Linked DNA regions of Daphnia pulex. The main gene of each other region encodes a partner of the protein of the gene in region 3 in a complex. Links are inferred from orthologs where the notes say so. Each region holds a gene or a part of one and is shown on either strand. Other genes may lie near its edges.

Region 1 (5,379 bases), on a different chromosome or scaffold from region 3:
AGTATAACACACCACAGTGAAGAAAGGTAAAGGTGAAATTATTAACGGGCAGGCTAAAGTCATTGAAATGTTCTGCAGCGGCGTTAAACTACAGCATGGATTTGTTTTTCTTACGATCTCACAGAGTTATTAGCAATACTTTTTCCTGTTTGTCCAGTTCAGAACCTTAACGTAACAGCGTCTCAGAATTTCTCCCGAATTTTCGAATTTAGCTGATTTAGGAAAAACTCGTTTCAATCGCTCCTTCACTTTGATTAATAATAATTTAAAAAAAAAATCCGAGCTTGATCCAAGATGCCCTACTAAAATACGGTATGATAAACAGTGTTTCTTTCACGTAATCAACCTGACTGAGAAAAGACGAACAAGAAGAAAAAGAAAAGACAACAAACGTTACAAAGATTAAAAAATAAAAAACAGCAAAGGGTTTGCATCGCAAATGATTGATATAGATGTATAAATCAAGAGAACGATTAGCTTTGAATAACGAGATTCACACGTTGTGTTCTGAAGATTCTTTTCCCCCCTCGTAATACATGTAAATGTTTAAACTAGAAGATGATTTGAGAAAAGCCCGATGATTAAAGGGTGGAATTATCGTTCGAAAAAAAAAGTGATAGAAATCGCTTAGAAGCGAGGTCCTGTACCACCAGATGGGTTACTCATTTGAGCTCGAACAGCTGAGCCGACAACGTCAGCAGCGGCTCCACGGACGTGCTCATTACGCATTACTCCAGAAGTGAACTCCGCCTGGGCTTTAGAGAAAGAAGCTCCCGTGCTGCGGTACAAACGGCTGACCTTTAAGGGATACGCAAATATTTTATGATGAACTGCGCAAACAATTCTGGGATTTTAAAGAAAAAACTTCTTACTCTGACGAGGAGAAGAAAATCTCCCAAAGCGACAACTCCAAATCCCAACCCGATAAGCAAGACTAAAATTCCAACAGCAAGATCTCCTGAAATGGTGATAAATCCAAACAAAACAAAATATTAGAATATCATAACCTTCAGCAGTACTTGGTACCAGGAACTCACCCCCACTAGTCCGCCCGCCAATTGTAGATAATCCAGTGATGAATCCGCTGTTGAAAGATTGGATAAATAAGGATAAATAAACATTCACAACATTCGCATGACTCATAGTTACCATGTTCCCAAATTAGGTATGCCAATAGCTTGGATGACGGTTGCTATTAGTTGGCCAAAGTAGATGACGAAAAAAACCATGAAATTGAATGAGCTGTCCGATCTAAAACACGACAAAAAACACACGTTTACAAAACAAAACGAATTCCTTCTAAAAAGTGAAGTTAAGCCATAATTTTAGAAATATGAGGGCGGACCTGAATGCCTTGTAGACAGGTCGAAACCAGCAAAGATAAGAAGCTGGTGTGAAAAGGATGCAGTATAGGATTGACAAGCCAAACATGGCACCACTTCCCACTTGAATGAATAAGGCTAAGCAGCCCAAAACATTTAGAAGATACATGAGGGTGTGCACTGAAAATAAAGAAACAAAACAAAATCAATAAAAGTTTCTGATAACAAAAATAAACTTAAACAAGAAATCTATGATATGTTTAACTTACGCATCCAAATATAGTATAACATGCGGACAATTTTTTGAAATTCAAGTGGGATTTCCACATTGATGTCTTGATAGAAGCATGGTTGGACACAAAACTTGTCAGGCAGTGGTGGCCAATTATTGCGCTGAGCTGTAATGAAGAAGTAAATAACAGAAATTAAAAAGTAAAGTTTCATTTAAATTTGTTCTCTCCTACAGTTGAATGGTACATTATTCTTTAATTCTTCTTCTCGCCTCTGCAATTCTTGAGCTTTCTTCTCTAGTTCTTCTTGACGTCTCTATAAAACCATGCAATATAATGAATAAAGATTTCCTTCTTTCTTTTTAAGTTTTAATACTTGAAAATCCGCATTTGACATAGCTGCTTGTTGTTGTGGTCCTGGAGATATCACTGGGGCAGCTTGAATTGTTGGGGGTGGATTGGCTCCACCAACACGGTCCTTAAATTTTGTAACAAATCAAACACACTTCCCACTTTCATGATAAAATTATGTTTTACCATTGAAACTCTGGTAGTTTGATTACTACCATCAAAAGGGTTGTATTCTTCAAGACCTTGCTGAGCTCTCGCAGCATTGTTTCCTGCAGCTTGCTGGACAGATGGATCCTATTGTGAAAGTAAACAACCACTTTACCACTAAACTAATAAACAAGGTGATTTTTCAAAAGGTTTTCTTTCATATTGTATGCGGCGAGTACTCCATGAATCACCAGTTTTCAACCAAGGTATTAGTATGGTAATAGTAAGTATAATATACATATTATAAATAATCTACCGCAAACGGGTTGAAAACAGCCGGTTCTGCAAAAGGATTCTGATCAAATCCAGACATTATCAAATATTTCTTTTTTTAACTTCGGTCACTTTGTTACTCCAATTTGCGGTAACTTTTGTTTCGACGGTCACCGTGAAACGTCAACTCAACTAATACAGACAGAAACTCCTATCAATTGCTAAATAACAGGTAATGTCAGAGAAAAGCAGTTCGGAAACAGGCAAACACTAGCGCCTCTGGAAGACAGAAACACTAGACTAAGCAACGCTGGGATTAACGAGATATCTCAGGTAAAAAAAATTAAATAATTCATAATAAAAGGTTTGCAATAAAGTTTCAAAATTTAATTATTGTTAGGTTTCTATATTTAATATTTTGTAATGCACATATTAACATTATTAGAAAAGTGAAAGCATTTGGCAACTGCCATGGACACTAGTGTGTTCACGATTTTTCGTTGAAGATGGAGGCCGAGGCGGATTGGGGTGATTTTATTTAATTATTTCTATATTAAGTTATTCAATTCCACCTGTTTTTTGTATGAAATTCTCAATAGTGCATATCAAAGTTCCATTTAATCGTATACTCTAATCAAATACGATTTTGTGGTGATTATAGATGCCGAAGATTTTGAACCCTCTGTCCCTGTTCCAGTTACGACTGCCATAATTTCAGATAAATGGGAAGGTGAGGATGAAGATGAACCTGTCAAGGTGAGTTGTAATTCAATTGTGATGATATTAGTAGTAAGTATATCTACAAATTTGGTAGAACCTTGTAGCGCTTGTAGTGAAAAAAAGTTCTCTCAGTACCTTTCTATTTCTGCTCCAATTCTTACAACTTTCACTTGACTACCATGTGTCTTCTTTTGCCAAAAAATTCTTATTGCTCAATGAGTTTTACATAAAGTTGTGATTGATTTCAAAATTATCATTTTTTCTTGTTTATAAATGATAGGATAGCTGGGAAGATGAAGAAACAGAAAATAAGCCTGCTGAAGTCAAAGCAGCAGCCACAGTAAGTACATGTGATCTCTCGTAAAAGTATCCAAAAAATTTAAAATGTGTTTGTTACTTTCAGGCTACCAAAAAAAAGTCAAGTAAAAGATTAGAAGAAAAAATAGCCGAAAAAGAAAAGAAAAGCAGAGAAGAAGCTGAAGCCAGAAAAATATTGCAGGAAGCAAACATGACACCTGAAGAGAGAATAGCAGAAAAGCTTCGGAGACAAAAACTAGTTGAAGAATCAGATTTTGAAATGGCCAAGGAAACCTTTGGTAAGTTGTCTTAGGAAACTGTATTGCTGACCTGCACTAAGCATGATTTGTTTTATATTTTGTTCTCAATGTTATTTTTATTTTCCAGGAATTACTGGTAGTTTGCCTACAGAGGGAAGCATAGATGAAGCAAACCCTTCATCTAAAGAGGAATTCTCAGAATTCAAGAACAACTTGGTGAAAAAACTTCAGTCATTGTCAACTAAAGCGTGCTATAATGATTTTATAGAGGACTTCATTAAAGATGTTTGCATTGGATGTAAGTCACATTTTCTAATGTTGGTTGCTAAAAACTTTTCTACATCCCAGTTTTTCAACATAGTGGAAGTCGAAGTCCTTAGAAAAGTTAGTCTAACTACCAAATCCTTGCACGAAGAAAAACTCAAGATGGTGAAGGCGGCGACAAAAGGTGGAAAGAAAGGAAAAACAAAAGTTGCTTTAAAAATGGACAAAGGAATGGTCGACAACTTCGGTGATGATTTCGGAGGAGGAGACTATGACGACTTCATGTAGGGTCCAATTGTTTTTCTTTTGTTTTTGGCGGGAAAAGGTTTATTGGTAAAATAAATGTATGATTTTGCCATTTTGCTCTTGTCAGTTTTTTCAGTGTTTTAAGATATATTGAGATTGAATTTCTGTTAAAAGTTAAAACCTCCCTCTTAATTATTCTAATTCAATATATAGAGTTAAGTTGCATATTTTCTTAGACGTTCCAGTTTTCTACTTTTAGCGTCAAAAAAGGAGATGGTGACAGTTGTAAAGTTAGATGTAGTTAGATGTATTTGTCCCATTGAATGCTACACACTGTCAAAAGTAAGCAAATAACTTTCAATATTTATTTTTTTAAATTTGAGTTTTGAGTACCCCGCAAATTTGTATACTGGTGAATCCTTATTTGATACCCAGTGGGCGTAAGAGAGGGGATTAGGGGGGTTTTGTTTTTAAAATGTAATGGAAATCGTTGCCGTGGCAGCCGGCTGCATGCCTAATCAATAAATGAAGCACGTGCGTTTCCTGCTGAGTAGCAGACTAGTAGTGGCATAAAAGTGGTTGTTTGGTCGATACTTCTAACTCGTTATATGGCGTTTCACTGTGAGAAAGTTCGTTAATGAATTTCTGGAGTGATAGAGCACAAGTTGAGCAAGAAAATGGAACTAAAAGAAGTTAACGGAGCAGAGTTTTTGCCTTTAGCAAACGCAAGAAACCGACTGCTTCAACAAAATGTAAGCAACAAGTTTTCCCGTATTTTAAATCCAGAATTGATTTCAATTAAATCGTATATCAATGTACACAGGTCCGAGACAAGCGAAATAAACTCGCTCAGCTACTAATGGAACTCGATCAAAATGAAAATGTTGTTAAAACTGCCGAACAAGATCTCACGACGCTTGAACAAAGCACACAACAAACACATGTAAGTAGAGATCTGCTCATGATGGCCATGGTTCACGGTCCAACAACTTTCATATTGCTAAACAGATTTTTCCTGCTTGTTTTGTGTTCAAAGTTTGTATCATTAAATGTTGTTCTGTTGTCTGAAAATGCGTCAGAAGATGACATGACGTAAAAGCAATTTCTGCATAGACAAGTCTCACTTAATCACCTCGTTATTAACGAGGCAATTAACCATGGATATCATATTTATACTTCATGCAGGGCTGATTGATTTGATGAAGAAAGCATGGATTTTAACTTTTAATTAATAAATTAAATTTTTAAATCAAAGGTTCTGGCAAAAAA
Region 2 (6,210 bases), on a different chromosome or scaffold from region 3:
ACATGGTGAGGGAGACCAAGTGATTCAAGTCACCATAGGTGGGCGTTGTCAATTTGAGTGTGCGGAAGCAGATATCGTAGAGAGCTTCATTGTCGATACAATAGGTCTCGTCCGTATTTTCGACCAATTGGTGGACCGAAAGAGTGGCGTTGTACGGCTCGACGACAGTGTCGGACACTTTTGGTGAGGGGACAACAGAATATGTGTTCATGATACGGTCAGGATACTCTTCACGGATCTTGGAGATGAGCAAAGTTCCCATGCCAGATCCAGTTCCGCCACCAAGGGAGTGTGTCAGCTGGAAACCCTGTTTTCACATGACAGCAAAACTTTTATTATAAAAAATCATCTCATTCCAAATTAAAAAGAGTTATTTACCTGAAGGCAATCGCAGCTCTCGGCTTCTTTGCGGACAACGTCAAGAACAGAGTCGACCAATTCAGCTCCTTCAGTGTAGTGACCTTTGGCCCAGTTGTTACCGGCTCCACTTTGGCCAAAGACGAAATTGTCAGGGCGGAAGAGCTGGCCAAACGGTCCCGAACGAACGGAATCCATGGTGCCAGGCTCCAAATCCACAAGAACAGCACGGGGAACGTATTTGCCTCCGCTTGCTTCATTATAGTAGACATTGATGCGTTCCAGTTGCAGTTCAGACTCGCCGTGGTAGGTGCCATTAGGTTGGATTCCATGCTCGTCAGAAATGATTTCCCAAAACTGCAGGAAAAGGTAAACAAAAAAAGAGGGAGAGTTAGAAAAACCTGCCCAATTTCAATGAGTTTTTAAGTGCTATACACACAGTATAAAATCTAACTACACCTAGGGAGGAACTGCTAGATAACCCATCAGTAAGGGCGCTGTCACAATGAGGGGTTGGAAAATGTCGGGGGAGGGGATGTTGTTTCACATACAATTGCCCAATCGAATTCGGTTCACATCTGCCACATGGATGCGCGATATAACATTTGAAGGTTAGAGGGGAGGCTCACATTTACTTTTTAAGTTTATGGTCGTTAGCCTCAATTTTTTTTTTACCCCACCACTTGGCACGACTACACTATCCGGTTTTTTAAAAAACAAAGTGCATCGAAACAAAACTAATTAGAACTCGCCTTTTTGTGATCTTGCCGGGTACCGGTTCACCATTCAAGCCTGGAAGCTTTAGATTGATGGCATGAACAATCGAGAAGATTGCATGAGAAAGGAGTATGCAATCAAATCAACAACATTACATTTACTCTTTTTTTTTTTGCAACATCTTGAGATGAAAGGGGCCGGACAACAAAGAAAAATGGCGGACTAGCGCCAAATGGGCATAAAAAAGGTGTCTTGCACACCGGTCTTTCACTGCAGCAAACCATGTCAAATATCTTATCATTCTAAAATAATGAAAATATAATATTTACCTTGGCTCCAATCTGGTTACCACACTGTCCAGCTTGAATATGAACGATTTCACGCATTTTCTAATATTTTTCGAAATGAAATTGAAAGAGAAAAACTCTCAAGTTTAACGGTCAACGTGCCTCGCGCTGGAATCCTCTGGATATGAATTTCCGTTTGCAATGGGACTGGCATTTATAACCTCATGAACAGCCTTGGGTGCAAGAGGGCGGAGCTTGATTGTGTTGCGCATTGCCATTGGTCCACGAAATCAAACATGAAAGCCAAATCCTTATTGGGAGATTCGAAATTTGCGTCCGCGCGTTTCGGTTATTTTTTGCTCCTAGAGATGCAGAGTTTATATGTTTCTGTATATAGTTGGCTGAATATTAAAAAACGGAGATATGACCCAATCAAAATTCTAAATAAGTAGAGAAATATTTGCAGGGCAACGTTTTTGGTTTGTCTCTAGTTCCTTTTATTGAACGTTATAATCTTAAACTTCAAAAAATGCCTGCTTCCATTTAAGTTCAGTAAAATATTAGAATTAAATATAAAGTTTCGATTAAAGATAAGATAACCCACTTATTGTCATCGGTGTGGCGAATATGGTAAGAAATAACACGCTTTGAAAATTCATTCCTTTTCCGTGGTTGGTATGTGATTGAAATATTGCCAATTACGTCTCTAAAAGGAAAGAAAACCGGGAACCGTATAAATTCAAAAACCAGTTTGTACGGCATCATGGTTTGCGATTTTCGAGTTGATTTCAAAGTAATAAAACCTGTTCGGCACTATTAACCATTGACTCCAGCATAGTTTTATGTAATCCTGCTTAAATGCATTAGGCATAATGGTCACATGAAACCACAAAACACTTATTCCAAACATGGCAAATAATCACCATGACAGCAGTACACACATGTATGCCGGTGAATCACGCGACAGGGGACGAGCCGGAGCCGGCGAGAAACGTAAAAACTCGGTCCCAGTTGTAGCAGACCTCTGCCAGACACGATCAATACTTATGTGTCTAGACAACCCATCCTGCAACTGCAACAAATCCACCTCAGCAGTGTTTTTATGGTTCCTGGGAAACACAGCCTGAATGCAGCTATTGGAGTGCTTGATGTCTTCATCCGTAAATTTGAAACAATTTTGGTAACCATTTTCTTTGAATATTTACTTCCTGATCAACTTTTGATCATGATTTGATATACTTGCTATAAAACAGAAAAACAGAATTGTAATGGCAGTCCCGTTTAGCATTGAAATCTGTTAAGTTTAAGGTAAATTAATCTCAACCGGAGTAAATAAGTTTGACGATCGATTTTTACATTCGAATTTTTGACAGATGATCTTTTGGAAAATTGTTGAGTACATGCGGCAACGCTGTGCAGCTACTATTATTTGACACTAGAGCCACTAGTAATCGAAATAGTAATCTTACTCGTGGACTTTTCTCAATTTTCCGCAATTTTCAATTGAAATTTAATAACTATCGGTATTGAAAAACCTAAAAGATGTATGCCGAAGAATTTGAGGATGTAAGTGTACAATAATTACAACATGTTCTGTACCTATCATCAAAAACTTTTTCATTTGTAGTACGAGTATGAAGCCGATGCCTATGAGCCAACCGGGGATCCACGGCTTGATGCTGAAAATGAACGATACACTAGCTATGGAAGTGCTCCCCAATATGCTCAATATAGCATGCCGGATGTGATCAAGAAATTCATTATTTATTTTCGAGAGATGGTAAACTCTGGAAAGTTGTATGAAATTCAGAATGTCTACGAGAACACGTAAGCCCACCACAGTGCCTGTCAGACAAAGTTGAATTGTTGATCCATTGTTTTTTACTCCATTTAGATTTCCAAAATTAACTGAAGAGCACTTCAAATCATCCCCTTGGCCTGATGCAGATGAAGTTTCCCCATTAGTGGATGATGATCAACCGTTTCTGATTCTCTACAAGGAACTTTACTATCGCCACATTTATGCACGAATCCAAGGAGGACCAACAATTGAACAACGTTTTGAGTCTTACTACAACTACTGTCAACTTTTCAACCATATTTTGAGTACTAACTTCACTAATTTTTAGATGTTTGCCCAAAGCCTTCATAAACCATTTTACTACAGGTGCTAAAAGTCCAGTTGTTTTGGAGCTTCCTCATCAATGGCTGTGGGAAATAATTGATGAATTTGTCTACCAGTTCCAGTCTTTTGCTCTTTTTCGTTGTTCTCTTCATAAGAAATCAGGTACACCCATCATCTTATGCTCCATCTTTTCTTTTCTCACCATTTTTTTTTTTTTTTTACAGCTGAAGAACTTGAATTCATCAGAATCAACCCAACTTTGTGGAACATTCATTCTGTATTGAATGTGTTGTATTCTTTGGTTGACAAATCCAATATCAACCAACAATTGGAAGTAAGAAGGAGAGAATCATTATTGGTTGTAATTTAAAATTAATACAATCGATATGTAGGTATACGCCAAAGGTGATGATCCCGATACCGTAGCAGGAGAATTTGGCCGCCGACCTCTTTATAAAATGTTGGGTTACTTCAGTCTTGTTGGATTACTGAGACTCCACTCATTATTAGGAGATTTCTATCAAGCTGTTAAGGTTCTTGAAAATATGGAACTCAATAAAAAGGTAAGCGCAAAATTAAAAATGATTTGCATTGCTTGTAAACGTAATCCATCAATCTCATTTTAGACTCTGTACTCCAGAGTACCTGCCTGCCAAATCTCAACTTACTATTATGTTGGTTTTGCTTATTTGATGATGAGGCGGTATGCTGATGCTATTCGGACGTTTTCCCATATTCTACTCTACGTCCAGCGCACTAAGCCATTATACCAGGCTAAAACATACCAAAATGACCAGGTCAATTAGATTTAAGTGAAATGAAATACTGAAATCTTAATCTCCTTTTTTGTGTTTATAGATCAACAAACAAACCGAAAAAATGTACGTTCTACTGTCGGTGTGCCTCGTTCTTCATCCTCAGCGCATCGACGAATCTCTACAGGCGATCCTGCGAGAGAAACCTCATGCCGAACGCATCGTGCGGATGCAAAAGGGAGAACTTCAAGTGAGTTTCTGTTGATATTTTTTAAAGTTAAAGCAACAATTTAAATTTGTTCAATTATGTTAGGAATTCGAAAATGCATTCGCTTTCGCTTCTCCGAAATTTTTGTCTCCTGTTCCACCTCCTGTCGAAGCACCACCTGCCGATCATCGCCGTGAACCATTTCAACAGTTGGCAAAAGTTTTCATGGATGAAGTACAACAGCAACTTACTTTGCCAACGATTCGCAGGTATTTGTTCAACATTAGATTTGAATGTCCGAGTATTATTAACATAAATTTTCTGTTTAGTTATCTACGTTTGTACACTACTATGCCTGTCGCCAAAATGGCTGCGTTTTTGGAAATGCCCGATACTGATTTCCGCACCCATCTGCTATGCTTCAAACATAAGATGAAGAACGTCGTTTGGACTAAAGGCACCTCTGGATTGGACGGTGAACTCCAATCAGGCTCTGAGGTGAAATATCTTAGAATTGTAGTTCTAGTGGAATGTATCTTATTTACGCTTTTGCTCGCATTAGGTGGACTTCTATATCGATGGCGGAATGATCCATATTGCTGACACGAAAGTAGCTCGGCGCTATGGTGATTACTTCATTAGACAAATCCATAAATTCGAGGAAATTAACCGCGTATTGAAGACACAAAAAGTTTAAAAATCCGATGCTTTACCTCCTTTAAATATGTTTTACATCTTATTGGTTTTTCAAAGGCAAAATACATAACATGGAGGAAGTTAGTGATTTTTAACTTTTTTTAAAGAGAATTTTTTTCTTACCTTTAAGTCCGACAAGTTACAAGGAAGTCAAATGAAATGAATGTAAGGCCACCAGTGATGTTATGTACGTTTCTCTTATTTTTGAATGTATTCAAATGATAAGATTATTTTTATTAGAGAACATTTTTTAAATAATTGGACCGAAGATCTTACTAGAAATGTAGACCATTGGCATCCTCATAGGAAATGTAAAAAAAAAAAAATGCTATCTAAAATCAAACAAGGGGAATTCAAACACACAAGGGCAATTTGAAAATTTTCAGTTTCAGTCAAAGCATCAGTAGGGAATATGAGTTTTTTTTTCATGAAAAAAAGCACTAACAAAAAGGATGACACGCATTACCCACGGCAGATGGAACGAGAAGAATCGTATTTGCAGTAACGGGCACATGAAAAGGACCTTATGTCCCCTCTCCAAAACAAAAAGCATTCGATTACTGCTGGTTGAAATTAGAATATCAAACGTCAATGTGAGAGTTTTAAATAAATTTAACATTTCAGGACTGTAACAATTTGAAAATTAAGAAATAACAAGCTTGTCAGTCACCACCACAATTAGTCCATAGAGCTCACGACAAACAATTACGCACCATTTACCAGCCAGATGAAGAAGCACGCTCCGTACCAGAACATTTTATAACAATTGATATGTATGAAGTAGGCTTAGTACGTTTTCTTATCCAGCTGAATACTTTGTTGGGAAGTCGTCTTTTTTTTTAAGCCCAATGTCGCTCACACTATGCACATTCATAACCCATGGTATCACCAACACGCACACTAAAGTCATCAATTTAGATCCATAAATAAATAAGAGCTGTTGATACATGTCGACCACCATACATCGGGAGACTAATAAACTAGCCAAATAATATAAAAATTTTGAGGACCCGAGAATTATGAATCACCCATTCACTCAATCAAAATGATGCAACAAGACATGCG
Region 3 (6,109 bases):
TCATGAAAAACTAAGAAGATAAATTTTAAACAGAAGAAAATATACATTAATACACATGAAAATGAAAACCTCGAGTATTGATGATTTGTGTGTAGCATCTGATTCAATCTTCAAAATTTTTACGCTTTCGTCAATAAACTTCCCAAGTGCTTTCAGACCACTTTCAAGAATATCTGTTTTTTCGCGCAAAGCATAAGATTTCAAGTTATCGAACCAGGATTTGTATTGCTTTAGCAGCAAGTTATTGAAGAGAGATGCGTGTTCTTCCAGCATGTTCAATGCGGCTGTGCATAAAAAACAAAAACAAAAAATAAATAGTTCAGGCAAAATAATGAAAAACCAAATGTTAATATAACCACCTTTTTTGGTATGAACTCTCTTATCGACCAGTAAAAATTTCGTGAGAAGCATCAATAAGTAACTATGAATTTTTTCCCTACATTTTTGGTCAACGATTGAATTAAATGAATGGAGAAATCCTGTAAGAGCTTCAATACAGCCTGCTACACGTTTATCTTTGAAATCATGCTGCCTTTTCACCTTTAAAGAAAGAAAAAGAAAAATTATTTGATTTTACAGAACGTAATTATTTACGTTAATGTTTAGTTACCTCCTTTTCAAGTTCATAAAGGAGTTGGTTAATGATGCGACTGGCCTTTTCCTTCAGTGTACTAGGAAAGTACTGGGCCAGTCTGCCTAGGAGTACTAGGAAATTCATTTTCGCTAAAGTAAAACATAAATATTATAAATAACCATAGAAATACATATCTATGCATACACAGTAATAATACAATCTGCATAACAAACAGGGTAATTATACAATAGTCTTTTTAATTAATCACCTTTGCTTGAACTATCATCAGAAGATGTAGCCATTTTTTCAAAAAGCATATTAGAAAGGGCTGGCAAATTCAGTTCTTCTAATATTTCTGTTGGTGAAGTTTGAGCAGTAATAACAACTTGGCAAAGAACAAAATAACAAGCTCCTCGTATCTTAGAATTTTTGGAGTTCATGTACATCAATGCTAAATTCTTAAGGTAAATGAAAGTTATACTATTAGGTTTTTACACATAGCTAGGTAATATTAATTATTTTCCATACTTTAATAACCACTAAATGGTTGCTCATGGATTCTCCAAATTTTTCCAGTAAATCACCCAAAATTGACAGGGCACAATTTATTATTTCTGCAAAGTTGTCATCCTTTTGAGAATCTCTGAACTTGGACAACAAGGAAATTAATCCAATTTCTTTGTTTAGTAAAGCCGAGACAACAGAATCTTTAGAAAAAATACAATGTAAATGAATTGATTAACATGTTTTTGATGGGACCAATATTTGAAACCTACTGTCTTTGGTTTTGGATACAACATCTTTAATATCCTTGATTTGCTCCAGCATATCGCTGCACGTTCCAGAATGCATCTGAAATAGATAACCTTCCAATACGCTGTCCATTTTATATTCCTCGATGTTACCGACAACCGGACACTTTTAAAAGGCCAACTTCTTCTCGATTATTCGCAATTTTTACGACTTTAAAACTTTAATCATACATATTTAAATGTTAAGACAAGTTTTCAATTGTAGTGGTTCTTCAAAATTTTGCGATCAACGTTAACTCACGTAGGTTATAGGCCTAAGTGATGTTTTCATCCCTCCCGGGTTATGATGATTCGGCTGCTAGAATTGTGCTTTTGCGTAGGCATATTTGCCATGACTGATAGTTAGGCGTAATACATATTTGTAAAATATTCGCTATCATGGTTTTAAAATATCATTACGTTACTTTAAAAATATTTAAAAAAATTATTACCAACTCATTCCTCAAATGGGTATAAGGATTCAACTTTTTTGGAAATGAATAAATGTAGGCTATTTTCTGAAAACAAAAAAAAATCCAATGTATGATTATAATGCGAATAAAAATCAAGAAAAAATAATAATAATAAAAAATCTAAATTATTTTCCCTTCAGAAGATCCCGTTCTAGCTGACAGGCTAGGCTAGTCACCAAGTTACCTATGGTGTTTGGTGAATGGTGATTGCCTGATTGGTGGATGGTGGTTGCCTTGGCCTTCTCGATGGTAGTATTATTTGTTGAAATCTGGCACAGGCTTCCGCCATTAAAGACTCGTGTCCGGTGTGCAGTGCTTGTTTTTCATCATGGCTCGACGAAAAGAAAATGATCGAGCTCAGCAAAATAACGATGACTCGGATTCTAACCCAAACGATGAATTAGAAGACGAGCCCAACTTCGATGATCCGGAAGGTTATGAGGACGATATTTCTGAAGAAGGTACCGTTTGTAACTTACCTTTTGCCATATGGCTTTCCTGAGCATGCCGGCATTGAATCTTGCTAACTGTCAATGTAGATCTTATAGGTGACCTCATCAGGCAGCGTCCGAAAGAAACCGACGGAGTCGAATCAATTGTTGTTATTGACGGTGTTCCTCAGGTTGGTACTGAGAGGATAGAAAAACTTCAAAATGTCCTGAGAAAACTATTCCAAAAGTTTGGAAAAATAACTAATGAATATTATCCTCTTAATGCTGATGGATCAACTAAAGGGTAATTTATTAGTTTTTTTTTTAACTTTTGTGTCAGCCCAATTTTAACATAATATACTTTTGAAGCCATGTTTTCATAGAGTACTCAAATGCCAATGAAGCATTGGAAGTTCTTAAAGGAACTAATGGTTACAAGTTCGACAAAAATCACACCTTCACTGTGAACTTACTTACTGACTTCGAAAAATATAATGACATTCTTGATAAGTGGGAAAATCCAATTCCTCAGCCGTTTAAGGAGCAAGGATGCCTTCAATACTATCTTCTTGATCAAGACGCTTGTGACCAATTCTCAGTTGTGTATGAGCAGGGAGACAAAGTTGCTGTTTATTTGAACACTCAACCTGAACCCTCTCTGCTGGAAGAAAGACCTGTGAGTCACTTCACCTTTATTATTATTATTATTTTTTTTTTTCATATTAAAATTTTATCTGACCAATAATTATCTTCACAGAGATGGACTGAGACTCTAGTGCGGTGGTCACCTCTTGGCACCTATCTAGCCACTTTCCATGCAAAGGGTATAGCTCTTTGGGGTGGTGAAAAGTTTCAACAAATTGTGCGCTTCAGTCATCCAGGAGTGCAATTCATTGACTTCTCACCATGTGAGAAGTATTTAGTATCTTTTAGTCCACTGGCTGATTCAAGAGCAACTGATGAACCACAAGCCATCATCATTTGGGACGTGTTGAGCGGTCTTAAGCGACGAGCTTTTAATGCCGATAAATCTCAAGCCCTGCCCATTTTTAAGTGGTCGCATGATGACAAGTATTTCGCTAGGATGGGAATCGACATGCTTTCTGTTTATGAAACCCCATCATTTGGCCTTTTAGACAAGAAGTCGATCAAAGTAACGTACACGATTTACAAAATCTTCTAATAACCATTTCCTAACATGCACTCTTACATTTTGATAGGTTCAAGGAATTCGAGATTTTGCCTGGAGCCCAACAGACAATACGATTGCTTATTGGGTCGGAGAGGAGAAAGATACTCCTGCTCGCGTCACACTTCTTGAGTTGCCAAGTCGCAATGAAGTGCGAGTCAAAAATTTGTTTAGCGTTGCCGACTGTAAAATGTATTGGCAAAAATCAGGTGACTATTTGTGTGTGAAAGTCGACCGCTATGCCAAATTAAGGAAAGATAAGTCCGATATCAAATACAGGTAATGAGATGCCACTCCTTCAATTAATAGATATAAAAGCTAATTTTCCCCCCTTTGATAGCGGTATCTACTACAATTTGGAAGTTTTCCACATGCGAGAAAAACAAATTCCAGTCGACTCGGTAGAAATCAAGGAAACCATTCAAGCTTTTGCGTGGGAGCCAGTTGGTACTAAGTTTGCCGTCATCCACGGTGAGCCACCGAGTACTTCTGTTTCTTTCTTCGAAGTTAAAACTGGACAAACGCCTACGATGGTTAAAAAATACGAACGTAAACCTTGCAACCAGTTGTACTGGGCCCCTTCTGGTAAGAAAACATTAAATTTAATGTTAAAATTCTAAAATCCTTACTATACTTTATCGAACAGGCCAGTTCATTGTGTTAGCCGGCCTACGTGCCATGTCTGGCACATTGGAATTTGTCGACACCCATGATTTTACCGTCATGAATACGGGCGAACACTTCATGGCTACTGATGTGGAGTGGGATCCAACCGGTCGGTATGTCGCAACTGCTGTTTCCTGGTGGGGTCACAAGGTAACAAAAATCAAGCAATGTATTCATTTTTGACAATGTTTGATCTCTTGTACTTTGACAGGTCGATAATGCCTACTGGTTGTGGTCCTTCCAAGGACGCATTCTCAAACGCGTAGCACTAGACAAATTCTGTCAGCTGCAATGGAGACCTCGACCACCTTCATTACTTCCAGCCCAACAAATAAAGGACATTAAGAAGTCTTTGAAGAAATTTAGTGCCCAATTCGAAGTGAAGGATCGATTGAAAATGACTAAAGCTTCCAAAGTAAATATTTTTTGAATGTGTAATTTTTGGCGAAAGTATTTTCTAAAAATCTGACATTTTCAAACTTCACCCAGGAATTGGTAGAAAAACGCCGCAAACTGATGCAAGAATATGAAGACTTGCGTAAGCAGAAGCAAGAGGACTATGACGCTCAACGTCGCCGTCGTATCGAATTGCGCAACAGTAAGTTCTTAAACCTAGTTAATAAGTAAGCTTATCAGGATTTAACTCACAAATGAATTCACAGACGTGGATACGGATGAAACTGAAGGCCGTGGAGGGGAATTAGAAGAGGAGACAGTCGAGTTTTTCATTAAAGAGGAGACGACATTCATCGACGAGTAATTGCCAAGACTGTAAACAATCACCACATCTTGAGGCGTGCTGCTTATTCAGTGAAAGGCAGCACATCTCGAGGTTTTTGTCAGATATTAATATCCGACAAATCCAACATCAGAAAATGAAGACAAATATAATTGTGTGTCTCATCGATTGGTTATGGCTGTTTGCGTCTCTCTTTGGTTTCAACTATCATGTACCCTTTAGATTATCAAAAATACATTTTGATTGCCTCGTCGCAACTGAAGTTGAACGAGAAGTAAAAAGGAATATATTGTACATGTTTCTGTTTGGGAAAAATTTACCGTTAACATTCGTTGATCAATAAGTCTGCAAATTTTTCTATAATGTTAGTCTTAAACTCTTAACAGAGATATACTCTTTCTTATAGTGCCCGAGGGTACTGTAATCGAAACATGGAGTTCGATCATTTTGACAGCAGAGTAATGAAAGACTGGAAGTACTTAAATTTTCCATGGCTTGAATTAGTTAGCATTTCGGAATTTATGGGTTATAGTGGGAAATGGAATTGAAGTCTGAAGGAAATGACGGATTTATAGAATGTTGGAAACTGGAATGGATTGGAAAATTGGAAAAACAAAAATATTATTTTTACTACTACATTTTTTTCTGGTGCGTGCGGCAACGTTGTCTCACATTATGACACGAAGTTGGGTGTGAAGTGGTGTGAAGAAGAAGGCGAAGTTTTCATTTCGATCAGTTTTGTCAGACATGGTAATGGTAAAATCTATTGCACTCCGGAGTCCGGAGCGCTCTAGTGTCAAAAGTGGCTATTGCACTCCGGAGTCCGGAGTCCTCTAGCGTCAAAAGTGGCTATTGCACTCCGGAAAGGAAATATGTAGTACTTTCATTTGGCGACCGATGGCATTCTGTTTCTGTGTTTTGAAATTTGAATGGTTTAGATTTGAATTATTTGGAAATTCAAATAAAATGTATTTATAACAATCAAATATATTTGAATCTCACTAATAAATAAAAATAGTCAGTGTATAGAAGGAACTTTTATTTCGTTATCGTTAACTTAGCTAGAGTACAATGTCCAACATTGAATCAGCTTAAAATTCAAATTGTTAATATAGTTAAGTGTCTTGCAGCAGGAATAAAGTAGAATTTATAAACATTTCAATTCAGGGTGATATTTCTTGTTAACCATTTCAATGTCTTGCTCTATATGCTCAGTGTTATTATTTATATTATATCATTATATTCA

The links.
Region 1: eukaryotic translation initiation factor 3 subunit B-like (region 3) and eukaryotic translation initiation factor 3 subunit J-like share a complex: the UniProt entries of both Drosophila melanogaster proteins name them as parts of the eukaryotic translation initiation factor 3 (eIF-3) complex. The link is inferred for Daphnia pulex from reciprocal best matches to the Drosophila melanogaster genes eIF3b and eIF3j.
Region 2: eukaryotic translation initiation factor 3 subunit B-like (region 3) and eukaryotic translation initiation factor 3 subunit L-like share a complex: the UniProt entries of both Drosophila melanogaster proteins name them as parts of the eukaryotic translation initiation factor 3 (eIF-3) complex. The link is inferred for Daphnia pulex from reciprocal best matches to the Drosophila melanogaster genes eIF3b and eIF3l.

Annotation. Positions count from the first base shown.
Region 1 is NC_060019.1:7,842,738-7,848,116, reverse strand, and holds eukaryotic translation initiation factor 3 subunit J-like, read left to right. Parts: upstream 1-2,764; 5' UTR 2,765-2,829; coding exon 2,830-2,851; intron 2,852-2,984; coding exon 2,985-3,079; intron 3,080-3,323; coding exon 3,324-3,383; intron 3,384-3,446; coding exon 3,447-3,639; intron 3,640-3,727; coding exon 3,728-3,898; intron 3,899-3,961; coding exon 3,962-4,152; 3' UTR 4,153-4,226; downstream 4,227-5,379. Other genes in the region: secretory carrier-associated membrane protein 2-like, read right to left, coding at 628-798, 873-958, 1,038-1,084, 1,150-1,251, 1,346-1,502, 1,592-1,720, 1,787-1,868, 1,929-2,030 and 2 more; coiled-coil domain-containing protein 39-like, read left to right, coding at 4,788-4,862, 4,934-5,053, 5,366-5,379. UniProt on the Drosophila melanogaster protein: Component of the eukaryotic translation initiation factor 3 (eIF-3) complex, which is involved in protein synthesis of a specialized repertoire of mRNAs and, together with other initiation factors, stimulates binding of mRNA and methionyl-tRNAi to the 40S ribosome.
Region 2 is NC_060018.1:1,451,938-1,458,147, reverse strand, and holds eukaryotic translation initiation factor 3 subunit L-like, read left to right. Parts: upstream 1-2,757; 5' UTR 2,758-2,903; coding exon 2,904-2,927; intron 2,928-2,988; coding exon 2,989-3,188; intron 3,189-3,255; coding exon 3,256-3,467; intron 3,468-3,528; coding exon 3,529-3,648; intron 3,649-3,710; coding exon 3,711-3,820; intron 3,821-3,878; coding exon 3,879-4,049; intron 4,050-4,112; coding exon 4,113-4,283; intron 4,284-4,344; coding exon 4,345-4,491; intron 4,492-4,554; coding exon 4,555-4,718; intron 4,719-4,778; coding exon 4,779-4,947; intron 4,948-5,011; coding exon 5,012-5,146; 3' UTR 5,147-5,229; downstream 5,230-6,210. Other genes in the region: tubulin beta chain, read right to left, coding at 1-307, 379-714, 1,404-1,460. UniProt on the Drosophila melanogaster protein: Component of the eukaryotic translation initiation factor 3 (eIF-3) complex, which is involved in protein synthesis of a specialized repertoire of mRNAs and, together with other initiation factors, stimulates binding of mRNA and methionyl-tRNAi to the 40S ribosome.
Region 3 is NC_060026.1:9,962,028-9,968,136, reverse strand, and holds eukaryotic translation initiation factor 3 subunit B-like, read left to right. Parts: upstream 1-2,041; 5' UTR 2,042-2,166; coding exon 2,167-2,299; intron 2,300-2,377; coding exon 2,378-2,573; intron 2,574-2,638; coding exon 2,639-2,945; intron 2,946-3,026; coding exon 3,027-3,422; intron 3,423-3,489; coding exon 3,490-3,737; intron 3,738-3,798; coding exon 3,799-4,043; intron 4,044-4,104; coding exon 4,105-4,274; intron 4,275-4,335; coding exon 4,336-4,539; intron 4,540-4,613; coding exon 4,614-4,722; intron 4,723-4,786; coding exon 4,787-4,884; 3' UTR 4,885-5,148; downstream 5,149-6,109. Other genes in the region: DNA-dependent protein kinase catalytic subunit-like, read right to left, coding at 1-10, 70-284, 360-540, 611-723, 843-1,032, 1,103-1,281, 1,351-1,459. UniProt on the Drosophila melanogaster protein: RNA-binding component of the eukaryotic translation initiation factor 3 (eIF-3) complex, which is involved in protein synthesis of a specialized repertoire of mRNAs and, together with other initiation factors, stimulates binding of mRNA and methionyl-tRNAi to the 40S ribosome.